Caenorhabditis elegans: one gene and its partner. The protein of the gene in region 1 interacts with the protein of each later gene in a pairwise test. Each region holds a gene or a part of one and is shown in the gene's direction. Other genes may lie near its edges. The genes, in order: dhs-14 and lin-39.

Region 1 (3,926 bases):
GAAAAAGGTCAAGATGAACTAGTTAATTCTACAATTCAAAAATTCGGGCGCCTTGATATTCTGGTCAACAATGCCGGAGCAGCTTTCAACGACGATCAAGGACGTGTTGGAGTTGATCAAGATGTCTCAGTTTACGATAAAATTATGCAGATTAACATGAGAAGTGTGGTTACTTTGACTCAAAAAGCCAAGGAGCATTTGGTTAAGGCTAAGGGAGAAATTGTCAATGTCTCGAGTATAGCTGGAACAGCTCATGCGGTAAGCTAGGTTAAAGCATATTATGACCTCCGGTAGTTTTTGCTCTGGTAAGACTTAATGATCTAGGAAAAATTAGATTTCGGGGAATTTTATTACTCGCCGCTGACTTAATTTTAGAGTAGTTTGATCAATCGAAAATCAGTTTTGCAAATCGAATTATTGCCTGGTAGCCTAGTAGGAGTGAGCGGCAATCGGCGATCGGCGATCGGCGATTTCTGTAATTTTTCGGCCTGTTGCTCAGCCCTGCTGGTAGCCTGGATTCCCGTCCCCAAATATGAGTATTAAAATTTGCATGTTTCCAGCAACCCGGAGTTATGTACTACGCAATGTCAAAGTCGGCTCTCGATCAATTCACCAGGTGTGCAGCCATCGATCTTATTCAGTACGGGGTACGCGTGAACTCGGTGAGCCCGGGAGGTGTCACTACCGGGTTTGGAGAAGCTATGGGTATGCCGAGTGGGGCGTTTGAGGAGGTGAACATAAGACACAAATTCCTAGAATTTTTCGAGTTTTCAGATGATGAAGTTTATGGAGTCCCGCAAGGAGTGCATCCCTTCTGGAGCTGTAGCTAAACCAATCGATATTGCCAATATTATTGCGTTCTTGGCTGATCGTAAGCTTTCTTCCTATATTATTGGGCAGTCGATAGTAGCTGATGGAGGATCTACACTGGTCTTGGGAATGAATGCTCACAACTGGGCGGATCTTATGAAGCAATCTTAAATTTTGTTGGATTTAGTGGTGAATAAATATTGGAACTAGTGATTTTGTTGTACAAAACAGGGATGGACGGCAAGCTATGTTTTCCGGCAAATTGGCAAATCGGTAAATTGGTAAATTGGGAGAATTGATATTCCGGCAAAAATTCAAATTGTCAGAATTGAAATTTTCGGTGAAACGGCACACTGCGGGAATTAAAACTTCCGGCAATCAGGCAAGTCGTCAAGCTGCCGGAATTGAAATTTCCGGCAAATATTCAAATTGCCGGAATTGAAAATATCCGGAAAAATGGCAAACCGGCAAATTGCCGGAATATAAACTTCCGGCAATCAGGCAAATCGTCAAACTGCCGGAATTTAAATTTCTGACAAATCAGCAAATCGATAAATTGCCGGAATTTAAAATATTCGGAAAATCGGCAAACCGGAAAATATTCGATTTGCTGAATTCGCCGGGAAACGGCAATTGCTAAAAATTGTCGGCAAATTGTGGTTTTGCAAATTTTTTTTTGAAATTTTAGAATTTCAATTTCAATCGGCAATATCCTGTGAATGTTCCTACATACAATTTAAAAATTAAGCAAATTCTATGAAAATTTCTAAAGAAAACGGGGAAAAAAATTTAAAAAGGCACAGTTTTAAGTGTTTCCGTCTTATAAAAAATCCCTCTAAAAACGGTAAATCGGCATTTTACCAATAGTCAAAATTTCCGGCAAACCGGCAAATCGAAAAATTGCCGGAAATTAAAATTTCTGGCAAATCGGCGAATCGGAAAATTGCCGGAAATTTAAATTTCTTTAAAATCGGTAAGCCGAGCGGTAGAGGGCTACATCGGGCATGTAATGTAATCGTGCAGAATAACATCGGTCAAAAAATTGGTTCGAACCACCAAAAAAGGAATTTCCATTTTTGTGGTATCAAAAGTCTAGTCATTATTTATTGACATAATATTTTTATTTTCTTATCAATATAAGCTGCCACAGTTTGCTTAAAGCACATCACAGACCACATTTCAACAAAAAAATCACGCAATAAAAGCATTGATTATCAGTATCAATATTTAATTTCTACACTACTGCTATGACTCGATTCTCTGGCAAAGTTGCTCTTGTGACAGGTATTTTTTTCAAATTTATTTTTCTTCATTTTTATAATGAATCATTGAAGGCTCCTCAAACGGAATAGGTAGAGCCACTGCTGTACTTCTGGCTCAGGAAGGAGCAAAAGTTACGATTACTGGAAGAAATGCTGATAGGCTTGAAGAAACTAGACAGGAAATTTTGAAGTCAGGAGTTCCGGAAGATCATGTTTTGTCGATTGCAACTGATTTGGCGACTGAAAAAGGTCAAGATGAACTAGTTAACTCTACAATTCAAAAATTCGGGCGCCTTGATATTCTAGTCAACAATGCCGGAGCGGCTTTTAATGACGATCAAGGACGTGTTGGAGTTGATCAAGATGTCTCAGTTTACGATAGAATTATGCAAATTAACATGAGAAGTGTGGTTACTTTGACTCAAAAAGCCAAGGAGCATTTGGTTAAGGCTAAGGGAGAAGTTGTAAATGTTTCGAGCATCGGAGCAGGACCACAGGCTGTTAGTTCCTTTTCTCTTCACTTTTTTACCCACTTCTGTATTTTAGCAACCAACTTTCATGTATTATGCAATGTCAAAAGCCGCATTGGATCAATATACCAGAAGTGCTGCCATCGATCTTATTCAGTACGGGGTTAGAGTCAACTCGGTGAGCCCTGGAGCTGTAGTGACAGGTTTCGGAGAAGCAATGGGAATGCCTGCTGATATGCATGAGAAGGTGAGAAGCCTCATAGTAGGCAGGCACTTTTGCAGATCTGCCTACTTAAAATACAAATCCTTGACACGTCATTTTACCAAAATTTAGTTGTAGGAAAATCTGATTTTTTACCACTTGTTCAAAAATATTTTGAACAATCTTTTTAAATCTTTTTAAATCTTTTTAAGCAGGAAGGTAGGTAGGTGAAGCCCAGGGTAGGTTTTACAAGCTCTTAAAATTATTCAATTTTCCATTTTTCAGTATGGACATTTCATGGAATCTCGCAAAGAATGTATTCCTTGCGGAAAAATGGGGCAACCCATCGACATTGCCAATATAATTGCGTTCTTGGCTGATCGAAAACTCTCTTCATACATTATTGGACAGTCGATTGTGGCAGATGGAGGTTCGACTTTGGTAATGGGAATGCAGGCACACAATTTTATGGATCTTTTGAAACAATAATTTTTGTATACATTTTTTTAAAAGTAAATTGTTTTATTAAAGTTTTTAACAGGCAACTAAAAAAATTTCCGTTTGAGTTAACTTTGACGGATATAATCCACAAACATGAGCCTAGAGTAAAACCTGAAGTGAAATTAAAAAATAAAAATAATTCCTATGATTTTCCCGTATTTTTTCAGTTTTGGAAAAAATAGCTTTTGGTCAAATACTGCAATTTTCTCTAACAACCTTCCGTACAAGGTAGCCTACTTTGTTTAACATTTTCTGGTATAAATTACTATTGACAGATCCATTTTTAAAAACATGCTTTATTGGATGCCACTGAATCTGAAAAAAATATATAAATTTTAATTATTACGCTTAGGCGGTATATATATTATAGGCTTATCCTTAGGCTTAGGCGGGGCTGGGGGTGGATAAAAATTGAGACTCTCCAGCGAGAAATTGGAGTTTTGAACCTGAAAAAAATCTTGAAATATGAGAACTTTTCGGTTAGACAAAAATCTAGCTCGAAATATTTCACTCTGTTTTTGAAATTCTTATCTATTTTTCTTCAGTTTTCCTGTAGAATGAAAAACAATTTTTCAAAAAAAAACATATCTATTCTCATTGAACAACTTCACAATTTCCAATGGAAAATACACTCTTTTTCACTGTGCTGGAACAATTATTTGTGTCATTCGCAATTTTCGA
Region 2 (3,926 bases), on another chromosome or scaffold:
TAATGTTTCGAGTTTTTGAGAATTTTCGAGCTTTGAGTAAAAAGTTTCCACTCATTCTGAAGTAGACGTATAATCTAACATTCTTGATATGGCAGACAGTCTAGAATCTAGTTTAAGACTTTTTTCAATCAGAGAATTAAATGTTTTACTATATTTAGGGTTAAGTTACGCTAAAGTTTCCAGATGCTTATATTCTAGATCTTTTGAACCCTTTTCGTTTGACTTTTTCAGATATAGTTCATAACTCCAATTTTCCAAACTCGCTACCTCTTTTCTCATTTTTCACCAGGCATCCCCCGGTGGTTCAATTTCCTTTCCTTTCATTTCTTTTTTGTCTTATGCTTCAATGTATTCATTACTTTTCCCTCTTTTTCTCGTCATTTGATTAATGAACTTCCTACTGTAACTCATTCTATCTCGTTTCTGTTTGCACTAGATTGGAAGACCAAAAAAAATCAAAATGAGGAATTGTCGAACATCAATTTGTAAAAGAGAGAAGATCCCTACACTTCTTCAACCTATTTTTTCTTGATTCGTGTACCTACAAATGAGTAATTGGATGCCATTCATTCCACACTTCTTGATGCTTCCTGACACTCATAAATCACTGTAAAAGAGACAGGAAATAGACTTGAGTCAATTGCATAATCACTTACTAATCATTTACTCACTTTTTTTTTTTATTTATTACCACAGTGTTATGCAATTCTTATCTCCTTATCTATACTGTGAGAGGTGTGAGGATATTGGATCATTTATAGATTGAGAAAACTGATAATGAAATAAAAAATGTGATGTGTTTGGGTTATTTCCTTTTATAGTACATTATCATGTGTTGTGGCTCTGAGAATTTGTAATTCTCTATGTACTGTTAATTTGAAAATTTTATTTTAATCAAAAAATTAAAAAAGACTTTCAAAGTTAACAAAAGTAACACATTTTAAGTTTTATAAATAGTTTAAATATCTCTGTTTGCATGTTTACAGTAGGGAACTTCTAGAACTTTATTCTTTCATTTTGTAAGAGGCGTTGGAATCAATTCAGTTGCAGTTGGCATTTCTGAAACCTCAAGTTTCGGGAACTTTTACTTTTAAGAACAAGGTGAGGCACTGCTGGAAATCTCGAAGCAATTTCAGATGCCTTGCAAAATCTTGAAAACATATTAAGCGTATGCTTCAGTTGTAGACTTTTATATTTAGGTATCTTGACAATTCCAAAAAATAGTGTTTGGTGTCGACCAAGTATTGATAACATTTAATTTAGCTAGAAATAGCTAGAAGCTTAAATTTTTAGAAAATCTGATCAATGACCTAGAAAAACTTCAACGTTTTTCAAAATTCCCATAACGCCGTTTTAAAATTTCACAGAAATTCGTCTTTTGGTCATTTGAACTTTTTGTGCATACCAGGCATTTGGCTCAAAAAGCGGACTATCAGATGTTGGCAAAAGTTGGTAAGAGCTTTGACAATACTTGTCTTAGACTATGTTGTCGAAACCTTGCTCAATTTCTGCTCAAGTTTTAGCCCAAAGCCGAGATACTCTCCCTTTTTGCCATTTTTCCAATTTTCATGTAACAATTCCATATCTATAAAATCAGAGAGTTCATAAAATTGAGCACATTTCGACTGACTCTTGACAACTTGTCCAATGGGAAAAAGTTGGTCAAGATTTTGTTCCTAAAAGCGGCAACTTAAAAGCGAAAATTCATTCTGCTCAACTCTTCTACTCTTGGAGCCCAAAAGCTTACGGTACCTGTCGTTCTCACCCCATGTCCATCCAGCGCTGTCAGTGATGAATTGAAAAGGCGAGAGCAAGAGATGTGCTCTCGGCTCCACGAACCTCTTTGATCTATGCCGACAGTGGGGGAGATTGGAGAAGAAGCATGCTCCACCCTTCACGTGTATCAGTACGTCTGCGTCTTCTTGTGCGTGCCGCCCGGATTAGAAGACATGAAGTGGGAGGGCGATAGAGGAAATTCCGATGGCAATACCAACAATAGAATTTTGGCAACATTTTTTTACGACCTTCTAGAATTAAGGTAAATCTCTCTTTTTTTAAATCCACTCCTGGCACAAAGCTTCTCAAAGTTCTAAATGAAACTGGAACTTAACTTTAAATAAGTTGAACCTAGAGGTCACCTGAAAAAGTTATAGGAAAATTCTCTACTATTTAAAACGTAGTCTTTAAATTTTGCAAGTTATGTACTTCAAATATCAATTTTCCACCTTTGTGGCAGAAAACGTTTAAAATCTAGTTTATTTCGGAACCCTCTTATATTTTCGCAAAGTTATCGACTAAATTTCAGTATTTGAAACATTTTTAGATACTCGGCTTTGGCTTCTGCTGTTTTTTTTTTGTTGTAGGAATTTATTCAAATTACCTGCGTTCCGAAAAAACATTTTATGTTGCATTATTGGAGAATATACCATTGAAAAATTGAAAACATATCTGGAAGAAATGAGCCCAGATTAGATGTTGCACTTTATGAGGCGTTGCGAAGGCGCCTTTTTACCGTGTTCCCGTTATTCTGCCGATCATTTAAATAAATTGAATCTCACCCTCGTTTAATTTGTGAATCATAGAAGAAAACAAAATGTAATCTTACTTTAAAAAAGCTATTATCACAACTTTAAATTATCCAACTTAAAAGCTTCATTGTCAGGTGTGTGCGACAAATCTACCGAAATTGCTGAGTTCGTCAAATTTCGAGGATTGCCCACAGCCTCAATATTTCTGAAATTTCATTTTGTAATCAGTAGTCACATAAATATTCAAGACATGGAGAATGTGTGGAATAGTGTTAGGTAACATTTCAGAGCTTAGGCCTACAGAGAAAACACATAAAGACTTCTAGTCCATACTTCTTCTTGACCTCATAGATTGCTTACTAGTTTATATAAAGCTATTTAGAGCAATTATCCAATCTTATAAGGTAAAACCCGCGGGTCTTAAACCATGACCACCCACTTGAGCACACCCACAAAAACAATTCGTCTCTCGCAGATTGCTCCTCAATTTATCACCATCATCTTTTCTCTCTCCATTTCCAACTCTTTACTTTTCTTCTCTTTTTGTTCTGTTTCCGTTCTTAAGCTTTTGTTGTTTTCCTAGTTTTAATGATTTCCTAAGGATTAGGTACAAGTAGTTGATAGGTTGATCTAATTCCTTTTGATGAATGCAGTAATTAAAAAAAACAAGGTTCTTAAATTAAAATTTAAAATCTATCAAACGGTAATTATTGCTAATTCGTGTTCTGAAATTTATTGGTTTCAATTATATGTGCCCAGGAATTTTAATAAATTTTAAAGCTCTGATCACCTGTAAAAGAAATTGATGGTTGCTGAAAGTTCTTCAAAATTTTAAGAACTGAATCATCGTATTTAACTTTTGTGTTGAAAATTTGGGCTCTTGGGAGATATTGATCCGGTCATTGATTGCGATTGTACACGTATCTCTGAATTCTAGACTAGCAGCACAAATTGTTAGTTTTCTTGCTCTCACTACAATTGTTCAAATTTAAATACCTATTCTACTAGTTATTCGGTTTTTGAAGATATGTAGACTTTAGGAATATCTGAATGATCTACTTCAATGAAAAAAATTTGATCTCTTTTTTTAACTACTGCATTCATCTCTATCGTCCTCTTATTCTATTCCCTCATCCCTTCCGCTTTCTGAGACTCCACCCTTCGTCCAATAGGAGAAATGGGCGGGATCGGGGAAGGATGGCGCCCGGTATTCTGTCTCTTTTGCAATGGAAGAAAAGAGGAGAAAGAGGGAGACGTCACATTTTTAACAAATGTTCAACCGCCCCGACGCGCCTCTCGTCCTCATTTATTATATCACCTCGTTTCCCCTCCCTCCCCTCATCTTTTCATCTCTTTTCAATCAATTCTTATCAATCACTTTCACTCGTTTTCACTCCA

The links.
Region 2: the proteins of dhs-14 (region 1) and lin-39 interact in a two-hybrid assay, tested with the Caenorhabditis elegans proteins (2 studies listed by BioGRID).

What each region holds. Positions count from the first base shown.
Region 1 is NC_003283.11:2,763,326-2,767,251, reverse strand, and holds dhs-14 (DeHydrogenases, Short chain), read left to right. Parts: upstream 1-2,051; 5' UTR 2,052-2,057; coding exon 2,058-2,094; intron 2,095-2,144; coding exon 2,145-2,572; intron 2,573-2,618; coding exon 2,619-2,789; intron 2,790-3,029; coding exon 3,030-3,233; 3' UTR 3,234-3,271; downstream 3,272-3,926. Other genes in the region: cror-2 (DeHydrogenases, Short chain), read left to right, coding at 1-258, 561-731, 775-981.
Region 2 is NC_003281.10:7,534,702-7,538,627, reverse strand, and holds the start of lin-39 (Homeobox protein lin-39), read left to right. Parts: upstream 1-1,995; 5' UTR 1,996-2,038; intron 2,039-3,926. UniProt on the Caenorhabditis elegans protein: Transcription factor.